Medicago truncatula: one gene and its partner. The protein of the gene in region 1 binds, or shares a complex with, the protein of each later gene. Links are inferred from orthologs where the notes say so. Each region holds a gene or a part of one and is shown in the gene's direction. Other genes may lie near its edges.

Region 1 (7,331 bases):
AAGTAACAACAAAAGAACATCATCAAGCTGATCCGTAAAAGAACAAAAAAGAGTCACAAATTCCATTAATATATATATATATATATATATATATATATATATATATATATATATATATAAAACCAATGAAAAATATTTGTTATTGCTACGTAATAAATAATGATGAAAATTTCATCAAAAAATATTCTTAATAATTTACATGCATTAGTTGGCCCTAGTTTTTTTAGTGAGAGAAACTCCACATTCTCTCAAAATTCTCTCTATTTCACTCTTTGAGCAGGGGTAGTTTAAATCATTTTTTGACCCAGAATCACCCCTATTGAGGAGGGGCACAAATTTGTTATTGATACATAAAAAAATATTGTACAAATTATTTCTATTATTTTACGGGGACAAATGTTTGTCGATAAAAAATTATTTAAAATTAGTGTTTTAGTAATATATTTCACAAAATAAAATCAATTATAATATAACAACTATACATTAATAAGAGTAATTATTGTTATATTAATTATAAATTAGTGCAACATATAATTAATTTTTCAAATCGTAATATGATATTCAAATTCAAACAAACAAACACGCTTCAACGCACAACCTAGATATATTGCTAGTAAAGAGAAAAATCAAACCTATAATATTATTTGAAATTTTTTGCTAGGGAAACATGTTATGTTAGGGTTTTCACCCTTGCATCAAGGCAACCTTCTATTTTGATTGATCCCATTGGCCATTTGCGCTTTATTCGTGACTTGTACCATACTTGCATCTTCCAAAGAGGATATCTTGTTAACTTTTCTGGTAACAGTGGATGAAGTATGAATGAATTTTGTATTCAAATCTCCATCTTGATACCAACTCGTATTCACTCGTTGCTCCCAATACAAATCCTCTTGGACTAAGAGACGTGACATTTTCTTGTGCAAAGAATTACAATGACCAACATCATTTGTACTACTATCCCAATTTAGCTCCGCACGACATTCCTCAATATACGTCTTCAACTTGTTACAATGAGTTTTATTCCAATGTACCACCAAATCCTCGTCACATCCTTCCAACTGAGGGGGTTATATTGCGATCAAGATTATCATGCCACTGTTGTTTCACTACCTCGTTCAAGTTGGGATCAACTCTCCATGCATTTTAGAACTTAAACTTGTGACAAGTCATTCTAGGCCGTGTGCAAGGAACATGATGAAGTAGAATTGAATATTGATATGAGGCGAGAGTAACCAAATTTTCTAATTGACCATTTAGGAACAATTGGTAGTAATCTTTGTTTGATGTTGCTCTGTCTAGTCGTTCATCAACAACTCTATTAGTGGCTAAACTTTTGAACAATGTGAATTATAGCCTTCCGAATTAATATCAAGCAACCCAGCCTCATGGAGAACTTTTTTGAATTTGTTCATTAGCCATTGAGGTCTCCTGGTCATGTCTTTCTCTACATGTGCATAATGCCATTAAAATCATCTATCATACACCACGATAATGCAGAGTTTCACAACATCTGCTTAATAAAATCCAAGACTCATTTTCAGGCACTTGTTGTTGTCATCACCATCCCTATTCACACTCATCATATTGAGACAACACAAAGTGATCAAGATGGAATAAACCACACAATATCAATGGAATAGAACAAACGATTAGAAAACCAAACTCTCACAAGGATAACAAGAATGTCACTCAAAATTGGAAAAACATCCTTAAATCCTAGTAGAAGAAAACCTTGTTCCCCTAAAGCCGATAACCCAAACAAAATCTCACGGTTGTCTGGCTTAATTTCCAAAACTCTCATCAGTTTTTTTAACAAATCAAACACACATTTAAATAATGCTCCCTCCCTCCCTCTCTCTCTCTCTCTCTCTCTCTCTCTCTATATTAATTTTTTTTTTTGTCTAGTAGCCTAGTGGCTGGAGCTCATCACCTTTTTACACCCTTCTCTGATCCTTACACACTTAGTTTCGAGTTCAACCCTAGCGCGCCGCGTTCACTTAGTCGTCGAATATTTTTATTAACGTTGACATTAAAGTATGCAAAAATCTGTAATAGATAGATTTTAAGAGAGGTTTTGTGGTTTAGTTGATAGAAATTGAGTCTTATAGCCAAATGATTAGCTTAACTAGTTATTTCATTTTATGAACAAAATCTAATCTAACCTAGCTGAAGCTTTTGAATTCTAAACACCTTCAGTTATTGTTTGTTCAATGTGTAACTATTGAATTGATATATGAAACAAGGCAAGATTCTTGCTCACAGTCACCACCGAGAACACAATTGTACCATAACGCTTATTATTCTTCACTAATTGTAGCAAATAGTAGTTAGTTGTTGTACTGATCGGTCGTTATTTTGACCCATTTGCTTAGACATGTAGCTTACATTAATCACGATATGTATTGATGGGATGGTTGAAGATATGACATTGATTTTTATTATGATTTTATATTTGAAATATGATATGCACATTCTTTTTAGTGCTAATTGTTTCTCTCATTTTGTTTGTCTTTATTGCACTTATCTGTTAAAATATTGGGACATGCATATATTCCATCATGCACCACTACACGGAGAATATAGATTCATGTGTTGTTTGAAGAACCATAAATCAGTTAGAAGATTAGCTTCATTCACAACAACGCAAAAAGGTAATTCAAACATCTTTTTGTAAGCTCTTGTTCATTTATTTGTTTATGACTTCATTTTTTAGTTATATGGCTATCTCTTTTCCATAACCTAAATATTTCATGCTTTAACTTGTTTTGCTGGATCCTTATCAAACAAGTGAATTGTTCACGATTTAACATCTAAATATGCAACTTCCAGTTGTATTTCAGTAGAATCTGATTTGAGTTTGGTTTATCTCATGAATAAAGGACCGAAACTCAGCAACTCAAGAATTGTATTATGTTTTTTGTGTAAAAGTTTTTTGTTCTTGATAATACAATTCTTGAGTTGCTGAGTTTCGGTCCTCAAAAATACAATTCTTGATAATCAACAACTAACTATCATTATCTAACTATCAAGAATGGTATTATGTCTCACCACCTTTTACTTTATTCATTTGTACTATATCATTATCTATCACCTTTTACCCATCAGTTTTCCTTAGTTTTTAAATTGTTTTTCAATTAGTTCTAAAGTTTTTTTTTTTTTTTTGAGAGGTAGTTCTAAAATTGTTAACTATTGAAAGTAAAGAATCAAAATAATATTAATTACATTTTTAAAGTTGGTGATCGATGTGAATCGAAAAAAAAAGTTGGTGATTGACATTTTTAATCAAAATAGTATTAATGATATTTTTAATCTAAATTATCAATTCAAAATACTTTAATTAGTAGTTTAAGTTGAATATAGGCCAAACACCTTCCAGGTCTTTTAAGTTTCATATTTGTTTTAGATAGATCCTTTAAGTTTTTAAGGTTTCAGATATGTTTTTTAAGTTTGGAGTTTGTTTCGGATAAGTCCTTTAAGTTTCGAGTTTGTTTCATATAGGTCATTTCTATCAACCTCCGTTAAGCCAAAGTTGATTTAATAGAAGGGACCTATCTGAAACAAATTTGAAACTTAAAGGACTTATCTGAAACTTTGAAAACTTAAAGGACATATCTAAAACAAACATGAAACTTAAAGAACCCATGAAAATATTTGATCTTAAATATACTACTTATACTTTATTGTAAAATTCATGCATGAGACAAATGTTCCACTGAGCTATACTCACGAGATCTTCACTTAACTACTTTAATAACTACAATTAATAAAAATATTCTGATAAACTATTTTAATTTTACTTTTAAAATTAATTCAACTAATCATTTTCTTAAGAACGAGGATTAAAATGAGACGGAGAAAATATTCTAAGTAGCCTAAAAATCGTTATCTTGTGGTTGCCTCTCGTGTCACGACCTCCTATCATATTTTGGATCCGGATTCCATAACTTTAGGACGGGAAGAGTCATGTGACTTTGCCTTGATTTCCATCCTTAGATTAATCACATGGTGGATATTTTGACATATGTCCGATCCATTTTTGTGTTAAAATCCGTTCCTCAACAGATCCATCGCCGCTTCCAAGAACCACCGACCTTCAACTTGTCGTCGACCGCCACACACCCACCGTCCTGGTTGTCGAGCGCCACCCTTTTTAATCAAAATCTTAAACCTCCATTTTCATATAAAACACTGCAGAAAATCCAAACGATAGAAGAAGAGGTCGATAGCGGAACGACAATTAACAACATGTTGAGAGGAGGAAGAAGACGACAAATACTACAAAAAAGTTGAAACATGTGTCAAAATCTGAACCAAGAGATTAAACCAATGGTGGATATTGAACAAAGTCACATAACTTTTCCCACCCTAAAAGTTATTGAATCCGGATCCCTATATTTTATCCAAACCTCTTCATTTCTTCACACACTCCACTCTTTGTGCTAACACAAACTCATGAACTCGTGTCAAATTCCATTGTTGTCTTCATGTTAATGGAGTTTATTGCTGAAGTTGGTTTTTTGCACCACCCTCATCACCTTTTCACACCCTTCTCTAATCCTTACACACTTTCACCAAAGAGGTTTGTTTTGTTTCTCTCATTCTCAATTTCTTATTGCCATTTTTTCATCTGGGTTATTGTACCACCATGAAAAAAATGTATACCTAATTCATTGCATGTGCCTTTTGTACTTTTTATTATTTTTTGGCTATGATGTTTTTAATTTTTTAATTTAGACGGAAAAATTGTTCCTTTTCACCATTTTGTTTTGATAAAAAGGGTTTTTTGAATTTTGTTGTAATTGTTGTTTGGTAGAGAGGGTGAAATTATGCTGTACTATGTTTCATGATATAGTGGCAGTAAGGGTTTGTATTGTGGATTGTGAATGATTGGCACTTCCCTCATTTTTGTTGTATGATGAAGATTTGAAGGGATTTTGTTAAGATTTTCAAGGTTTTCGAGTTCAACCCTAGCGCGCCGCGTTCACTTAGTCGTCGAATATTTTTATTAACGTTGGCATTAAAGTATGCAAAAATCTGTAATTGATAAATTTTTAGAGAGGTTTCGTGGTTTAGTTGATAGAAATGAGTCTTATAGCCAAATGATTAGCTTAACTAGATATTTCATTTTATGAACAAAATCTAATCTAACTTAGCTGAAGCTTTTGGATTCTAAACACCTTCAGTTATTTTTTGTTCAATGTGAAATTCTTGAATTGATATATGAAACAAGGCAAGATTCTTGCTCACAGTCACCATCGAGAACACAATTGTACCATAACGCTTATTATTTTTCACTAATTGGAGCAAATAGTAGTTAGTTGTTGTACTGATCGGTCCTTATTTTGACCCATTTGCTAGACGTGTAGCTTACATTAATCACAAAATATGTATTGATGGGATGATTGAAGATAGGACATTGATTTTTATTATGATTTTATAGTTGAAATATGATATGCACATTCTTTTTAGTGTTAATTGTTTCTCTCGTTTTGTTTGTCTTGATTGCACTTATGTATTAAAATATTGGGACAGGCATATATTCCATCATGCACCACTACATGGAGAATATAGATTCATGTGCTGTCTGAAGAACCATAAATCAGTTAGAAGATTAGCTTCATTCACAACAACGCAGAAAGGTAATTCAGACATCTTTTTGTAAGCTCTTGTTGGTTTATTTGTTTATGACTTCATTTTTTAGTTACACGACTATCTCTTTTCTATAGCCTAAATATTTCATGCTTTAACTTGTTTTGCTGGATCCTTATCACAACGGAGTTGTTCAAGAATTAACATCCAAATATGCAACTTCCAGTTGTATTTCAGCAGAATCTGATTCGAGCTTGGTTTATTACATGAATAAAGGACCGAAACTCAGCAACTCAAGAGTTGTATTTTGTTCTTGTACGGATAAAATTACATTTTTATATCTTGTCCTCTGTAGTTAAAGAAAATTAAAGTATTACCCTGATGGATTAATAATTTAATAAGATTCCATTGATATGTTCATAACAAGCAATGCAACATGCCACTTATTACTTCTTTCAATTTTTTGAATGATTCGAACTGACATTATGAATTGTGAACAATTTCTTCATTTTTTAACTAAATGAAGCAGGAAGTCGACTTATTTTAGTTTAATTCTATTGCACAGCTAAATGCTGCAACTAAAACTGCAACGACTTTCTTCATGGTGTTAGCTACATTAATCGTTAATTTTTTTTTTAATTCTCTTCATTATTCTATGAGGCAAGGTTACTTTTTAATTCTGCAATTTCATTCACTATCAAATAAGGCATCTTTTAGTAGTATGAGTTCTGTACAGATGCAAGTTTTCCTTTTGGCGTTAGTGTTCCTTACCATGCTTTCTTAATGAAATTTGCTCTTGTTTAGAATGAATGATGAATCTGGCCTGCCTTATTTATTAGGAAATTCAACCACCAGTGTTGATGATCTATGCAAGATTATTTGGACTGTAGAAGCTGATTTAGAAGATGGTCATCTCCTGTACATAACTGGGGACCCTGCTGTGTTAGGCTGCTGGAAACCCAACATGGCTGTACTAATGTCTCCTACGGAGCACACTAATATTTGGAAAGCTGAATCTCAGGTAATATCACTGGGCTGTCTGTATATTTATCTAGTTGTACTGAGCTGAGTTTTGAATAGGGTTTTGTACACCAAGTGAAACATATAAAGCAAACCTACAATACATTGTCAATGATATAAAGAAATCTCCCATGTTATAGAAGAGTTGTGCGTCTAAAGCTTTTTTTATCTCCGGAAGGAAATCCGCAACACTGTAGTATGTATTCTATGGTAAATGATAGGAGGCTTGTTGCTACAAAATTATGCATCTGCCAAATCATAGTGCTCCTTTCATTAAAGTTTAGATTATTATATGAAAGCTTCAATATTCTTGAAATACCGTATAAACGTCAAAAAAAAAAAAAATCAATACAAGTGACTCGGTTGTTATTTTCCTTGCAGATTGCTTTTGGCTTGAACTTTAAATATAACTATTTCATTAAGGAAAAATCAAGGTCCTCAAGTGACATTATTTGGAAGCCTGGACCAGCATTTTCTCTTTCAGTACCTCTCACAGCTCTAGCAGATAATGAAATTGTGGTGAGGGATTTATGGATTAGGTCCAATTTCCATATTTCTTCAGCTCATGCATGGAACCCCTGCACTGAGGAAACGTATCTTCTAAAGCAGCCCTCTATTTTTTTTCCAGTCAAAGGTATTATTTGATATTTTTACACTACTCCAGAAATATGTTTTCCTATGTTTCTGAACACTCAAACAGTGGTTTGACAGATGAACGA
Region 2 (7,329 bases), on another chromosome or scaffold:
AAGTTAACTAACTATTCCAAGTAATCTACTTGAGAATCACTCTTAAGTTTCAGGATAAATTTTAAAGGGTCACAATTCAAACCCCCCATTCCTTGTGACTATTTTATCTACTTCATAAAGGTCCAATTTGAGACGTTTTTTAATTAGGGGACGAAAATGAAATCCAAAAATAAGTTAAGGGACCAAAGCATGTATTAAGCCAAAATTATAATATTTGCTTGTATTCTTTTGTCCCTGAAAGCATTCCTAATACTTTGTGGGTGTGTTGTTACTATAAGGGAAATGTTAACTAGTGCCCGCGTGAGCACTAGTTAAGACCTTAAATGGTAAACTTTTATGAAAGTTAGTGTAATCAGTGTATTGGAAATTGAAAAGTTTGTCAATTTTAAAAAATGATTATTTATTTATAATGTTTAAACCTTAATATAATTATCTTTGCTTGTTAAAAAAAAAATTAAGCTCATAATTCTTATGATTTATGATTTTTTTTCTATTAGTCACCAATTAGTTTTAAGTAAATTATAGTTTAATCAGTCTTCATGAGCTTAACTTAGTTGGTAAGGACAATGCATAATATATGCAAGGTTCGGGTTCAAACCCGCCACTACCAAAAAAAACATTATAGCTTAATCGAACACAAAAAATTAACTCTTTTGCTATTTTGCTTTATTTCTCGAGAACTTCTACGGTACACTCGTAAATTGAGGTGTACAGGTACTCTTGCTTCATAAATCTATAAACTAACGATCAATTTTATGAAATAAATAGTTATTTGTCGACATTTATATTTTAGAAAATATGATTTCAGAAGAAAAACGCATCATTCATTGTTTATAAGAATCATAGTATTTTTTTTTTACATATTATCGTATAAAATAATCAAAGTTCTCTATTATGAACGATAAAAATTTAAAAAAATTATTTCGTTTACACTAATTTTGATGAATAAGATTTAATCATTATAATTATAAATGATAAAAATTAATATTTTTCTTCAAAAAAACAACTCATTTACCTATAAAATTGAAGGGTTGGTGTTCAGGAGAATTTGCCTTATTTCTCTCTCATTTTCTCCTCCCGGCCACTACTTGAATTAGATAAAGTGAATAAATTGAGGATTGATATTTCAATCGGTTATTACACATCTACATTTCATAAGAGCAATCATATTTGAACATTCATTCCATGATAACTTTAGTCACAACCTTGTTTTTCTTTCTTCTTGTTAGTAAAAAACAACGGAGAGAGAAAACGGAAGAGAGAGGATAAGACCATGAGTATGAGAGAGAAAGTTGTATAAAAATTATCATAAATTGATCGTACAAATATCATTTCTCATTTCATAAACACAATGCATTCACATGCTGAGCGAGTAAATAAAAAGGAATAAGAAAAGAGTTTTGTTCCAACAATGGTTTCGAGGCGGACGCAGATTCGGTACCTTATGGCCAAAGCTTGTTACACCCTCGATCTCACCGTTAAGCTCTCTCTCTCTCTTTCTCTCTTTTCTTTTCCTTTCCGGCAAATTCTATGGTACACCCAAAAATTTGAATGTACCGGTACACCAAATCGATAATTAATGATCAAATGAGTTGTTGTTTTTAAGAAAAAGAATTATTTTTTATTATTAACAATTATAATAATTAAATCTTATTTAACAAAAGCTTCGACGAAATAATTTTTTTTTTTTTTGAATTTTTATTACTTATAATAAAGAATATTGATAATTTTTTATGAAAAAAATGTTAAAAATTCAATATGATTCTTATAAATAATAAAATGATTTTTTTTTATATGAAATGATGTTTTCTAAAATATAAATATTGACTAATAACTTTTTATTTCATAAAATGATCTTTAATTTATAAATTTATAGAGCGAGAGTACCGATACACCTCAATGTAGAAGCAACCTTCCTTTCCCCTCTTTTCAATTTTACATTAAAAGTTCTATAACATTTTGTGTATTTATTCGCTTTGATCGTATTTGTATGGTAATTATTCATATTTATTGCTAAGTTAGTTATGGTTTGTTGGAATCTATATATAAATAGGAAATTAAAAAGATCGAGAAAGGATGTCCTGCAAAATTCAAACATGATGAGAGCTCTAATTTTTTCCGAAAGGAATTCTTTAATGGAATAGTAACCCGAACTTAGGTTAATGATTTTAGCGGCAAGCTCTTAAGCTGCAAAAGTTTGGTTAATTCTCATCATGCTATTTTTTTTTTTTGTCCTTCGATGTATTTTTAGTTTTTACAGCTTCGAAATATTGTAACCAAACTTTATCACAGCATTAAGTGAAAGTTTCCACAAGAGATATTATGATCTTCCGTCGTATATTGGTTATGTTTCTCGACTCCTTAATTTCTTCTAACATTCAGTGCTCCCAATTCAAATGGCAGGAAGCAATTGATAGTCGAACATTTGGTCCAATTCACATGAACAAAATCGTTGGCAGAGTCCTATACTGCATGCGAAGTGCTGTAGACCACAACCGTGTACTGAACAGGTAACCACATTTCTGAGATTAATACATTGTGCACAAATGGAACTGGTTCTTTTGATTATTGATATATTTTACTCTTGCCAGTAAGGAGAGCATGTTCTTTGATTCGCCAGTGTTGGAAATGGAACATGATGTTGATGAGATGGCAAAAAGTCACAAAGCCTCTGAAATTCAGTTCTGAGAAGCACCAACTTCTTGAGTTTACCTGTCCCTCTATTTCTTTTTATGTATTTTACCTGAAGCAAGAATGAAGAATAAACATATGATTTTTAAATTGTGGCTTTGTAATTATTCTTGAGTTCAACATTGTGTCAGAAAATTGTTGCTACTGATTACATTGACAACTAGAGTACAAATGGCTAACATTGCTAAACCACTCCCGAGAAAAAATTAATTCCCTCCAATAAGCCATTAATGTCGGCAACTCCTCCTGCAACGTAAGCTCGATAAAAACAAACCATTTAAAATCATGAAAGAATTAGAGAGCACTAATGAAACTTAGATCACAACAATAGCAGAGAGTACTAATGAAACCTAGTACTAAAGAAACATACTATTTGCAAACACAGATTACAACAATAACATTGTGCAAGAGTTTTTCCTCTTATTTGTTCTTATCTAGGGGCAAGGCAGTTCATTCTTTCATGGAAATCAGTGCATATTTTGCTACTGTGTTATAATCTCTCTTTTCTGTCAACAAAGGATGATGCCCTACCAATTAACTGTCTGACTGCAGCTTAGTGCAGTGTAAACTGACAATAAAATCATCTGAAAACAATTTCGTCAGCAACGTGCACAGTCCCATCTGTCGAAAGGCCGCATCATAGCCCTTTTCCTCACTTATCAAGCCCCATAAGAGTTGAGATGTGAAAATAGAGAAAACATGAGACAGACAAAATTGAGAGGATCCATTTCCACAAGGATCCAAGCTCATGTGTCTTATTTCCTTCAAGAGAAAGGTCTTTCAAAGTCTTAAGCAACATAACATTTTCTCAAGATTCAACACTCCAAAACAAGTATAAAAAAATAACAATAGGCAGCATTCTACTAATACGATCTTATCAACATGTTGAACACTTGTAATTTGATAGATACCTTAAATAAACCATTCTCTCTGTACCTGTGAAAGTTGTTCTTGATTCTGTAGGGTAGTGGGGGTGAATGCAGAATGATAGCTACCATTTTCCTTTCCCTGCCATTTCCTAGAGCCCAAGCTAATGTTATCTTATAATATTACAATCACAAGGTACATATAGTCATATAAATTAAAGCTTCTTGTAAAAAAATAAAAATAAATTAAAGCTTGAATTCTACCAAATTTAGTTTGAAGGGAAGTGTATTATTTTATATCATCCCTAATTATAAGATCATTTAAAAAAAAATGTTTTGTCCTCAAATTATAAGTTGCTCTATAAATTTGTATGGAAAAATCTTGTTTATAAAATAAAGTATAATACGATGTTGTATTGACCATATAACACCAACTTAGAAATTAGGTGATAGACTCATCATTCATTTCAAATTAGATGATATACTTCATTTATAAACATAAAAAATAATACAAATAATACGATGTTTTTTCGTATGTTTATAAGTCCTTCTATAGATTTGTATCATATTATTTGTATGCATTTTTTATGTTTATAAATGAAGTAAAATACGATATTATATTTGATGTACTTTATCAATTTGAATGAATACATATTATTTTTGTTTTTGTAAAAAAAAAAAAAAAAATTAAAAATAAGATGATGACAGTTTTGCCCCTAACATAAGAACATATTACCGAGAACACCCCTTATCAAGCGAACTAAAACCTACAAGAAAAGAAGAGAAACTGTGAGAGTGTTCTGTGTATCCGTCTCCCAACACAACAAAACAAAACAAAACAATGTCGCAAACCGTTCATCTCGTCGTCGCCAACAACGTTGGTTAGTATCTCTCTTCTCCTCTTTGATCAAAACTGTTCTCATATTAGTTTTGGAAAAACCCCTTCAAATTCTAAAACCCCTTTTATTTGATTGGTTTGAAATACAAATTTCACACTAGGGTTTTAAAAACCGTATGTTCAATTGGGTTTATTTTCTTTGTTTTTTCAATTAGCTGTGGCTTTCTCATAGAAAAGCTTCAAACTTTATTGGCTATTATTTTCTGGGTAAATCATGTTATCTTAGTGGGTTGAAGTTTTTTTTTTTTTTTCTGTGACCAATATTTGACATATCAATGACCAATTGTATCCTTGGTGTAGAATTTTAAGATGTAGGTGCAACATTACTTGTTATTAGAAATGCCCTTTTCTCTAGTTTAGGTTTTTCACTTTGTTTTGAGTTTTGACTATGTTGTTTTAAGTTTTCTGAAGCATGGAATTCTTATATGTTACATGTTAAAAGTCAGAACATTGTGGATGATTATGATTAAAATTTGGGTAAACCAACACTTGGGTCCCTGAATGTGTGAGGCTTTGTCACTATAGTATAGTCTATGAATCTATCGAAATTGCAAACACATCCACAAACGTCTCTTTTATTGTTGCATGTTTCTGGGTAGCCAATTTAGTTCTCAAATATATTTTTCATTGTTCATTTTAGTCCCTAAACTTACTTACAAAAGAGGCATCAGAGATTGTTTGTAATTACAGGACATTTAGGCTTTGTTTGGAGGGTAAGGGAGAGGAGGGGTTTGGAAAAAAAAGAAAGGAACAAGTAGAAGAAATAGACGACATTGAGAAAAAAATTTCTTCATAATACAAAATCTTCCTCATGTGGGGGAACTCAAAAATTGTATTGCTGGAGGGTTTTGGAGGGTTTACATGAATTCTTCAAATTTAATCTATATAGTTATGATATTCTTAAAATTAAAAATATATTAATCATAAGTATTAATTTATCATTCTCTAAAAAATTATTCTTTCAAAAAATGTAAAAGATTTTACCATTTTTCCGTATATTTCGAACCTTCCGAAGCCTTCCCCTCCCCTCCAAACTCCCAAACAAACTAATAGTGCATCACATATTCTAGGACCAAAATGGTGGTTTACCCTTTTTAGTTAAATAAGTCTCTACCATTCATTTATTTTAAATAATAAATCAATGGTGATAAAAGAGGATAACCGGTGTGCCCTTTACGATGGAGTGCATTTTAGATTGAGCCTTCTTTTTGTAACACATTTTAACAGTAAAAAGTAGATACTCAAAGTTCAGCATGTAAATTTAAAATATGTTTTTTGTATGGATACTGCATATGTTTTTTATGACCCTTAGAGGGAACCTTACCAAGCTGGATTTTTTTTTCTTGGATGATTGAACCAATTTAAATTAGCATGTTAATCTATAAGCTGCTTGTAGATTCAGTTTGCTCCCTATAAACTATCTTGATGTTTATCATAACTAAACCTACAGGTTGATAGTTTGCTACCATAGGGCACCATGTTTTGTATAATTTGATGTCTTCCTTTACTTTTTTCGTCCTTACACGATTATCTCTGGTTGTTGAGTTGGTTTGATATATTTCAGGTTGTGGAATGCCAGAAGACAAGTGTTTCCCGTGTTCACGTGGTTTTGGAAGAACAACTGTTGCATATTCATGCACTTCTCTAGGTCGTCGTAGAATTCATTCTCATGCCAAAATTGGAGGACTAAAGTATGGTTCAACGGCTGCATCTTTTGTATGTGAAGCAAGGAGGAACTCAGATTTCTCAAGGCAAAACAATAGGCATGGGTCGTCAAGAGGCAGAAATAGGAACGATGATGGGAGAGATATCTTTGAGAATTTTGAAGAAGAAGATATGTTATCTTCAAAAAATGGACCATTAGTATCGTATAATTCAGGGAAATTCCAGGCCACTTCATCCCCTGGCCCCAGAGAGAAGGAGATTGTTGAATTATTTAGGAAAGTTCAAGCTCGGTTGCGTGAGAGGGCCGCTGTTAAAGAAGAAAACAAAGTTGAAACACGCCGAGGGCATGTTAAAGAGCAAAGTGCTGTAGATTCCCTCCTCAACCTATTGAAGAAACACTCTGTTGAGCAAGGAAAGAGAAGTAATGGAGAGGACAATGGAAAAGACCTTAACTCTGACCAATCGCAAGAAAGTAACCAATACAATGGAAGACAAAACTCTAAATTTTCTGATTCAGGTGCTCCAAAGGGCGAGTCTCGAGAAGCCGACGTTGCTTCTTCGGCTCGGCCTCGGTCAGTTTTCCAAAGAAAGTCTCCTGTTCCACGTGTTAGGTACCAGCCTGTCTCTAATAACGTGGCTGATACTAATGCAGTACCAATAGGTACTGAAGATAATGAGAACATTCATGATCAATTAGATTCGAAACTTGATGACGAGCCAGAACCTAAATTTGAGTCTGACATTGATCTTGATACAAAGGATGAGACGTCCGTCCCTGAATTTTCAGATGATGATTCTGATGACTCTGAACAAACCTATAATAATGAGGGTGTGGATGAGCATGTAGTGGTTCAAAATGAGGATTTGAATGCACTGAAGATGTCTGAATTAAGGGCACTTGCAAAGTCTCGTGGCATGAAAGGGTTCTCCAAAATGAAGAAGGGAGATCTCGTGGAGCTACTAACTGAGAACTGATTCTGAGTAAACGGTACGAGAAGGAAAAGGAGTGCTAGAACGGATAAACAAATTTCATGATAAAATATATGTTTTTCCTCTGCTTTTAACCTGATGCTTCTTTTAGTTCTTTTCTTTTTAGAATTTTTTTGATATAAATATTCCAATCCAATTACCTGGGTTTGAGTGTTAGTGGGTCATTAGAGTAATCCCCGTGTCTTTGCCTTGTTGGTTTTAAAAATTTGTAGTTTGTGT

Evidence for each region. Proteins that work in one complex are often made in the same cells at the same time.
Region 2: ribonuclease E/G-like protein, chloroplastic (region 1) and rho-N domain-containing protein 1, chloroplastic share a complex: the UniProt entries of both Arabidopsis thaliana proteins name them as parts of the chloroplastic degradosome-like complex. The link is inferred for Medicago truncatula from reciprocal best matches to the Arabidopsis thaliana genes RNEE/G and RHON1.

Annotation. Positions count from the first base shown.
Region 1 is NC_053046.1:30,752,776-30,760,106, reverse strand, and holds the start of ribonuclease E/G-like protein, chloroplastic, read left to right. Parts: upstream 1-4,281; 5' UTR 4,282-4,487; coding exon 4,488-4,582; intron 4,583-5,535; coding exon 5,536-5,642; intron 5,643-6,431; coding exon 6,432-6,613; intron 6,614-6,993; coding exon 6,994-7,246; intron 7,247-7,312; exon of another isoform or gene 7,313-7,323; coding exon 7,324-7,331. UniProt on the Arabidopsis thaliana protein: Involved in intercistronic processing of primary transcripts from chloroplast operons. The endonucleolytic activity of the enzyme depends on the number of phosphates at the 5' end, is inhibited by structured RNA, and preferentially cleaves A/U-rich sequences.
Region 2 is NC_053042.1:34,467,087-34,474,415, reverse strand, and holds the start of rho-N domain-containing protein 1, chloroplastic, read left to right. Parts: upstream 1-4,309; 5' UTR 4,310-4,398; coding exon 4,399-4,438; intron 4,439-6,019; coding exon 6,020-7,095; 3' UTR 7,096-7,329. UniProt on the Arabidopsis thaliana protein: Binds to and supports processing of specific plastid RNAs. Associates via its C-terminal Rho-N domain to single stranded regions of 16S and 23S rRNAs or to rbcL mRNAs. May be involved in targeting transcripts to RNases such as RNE or RNase J.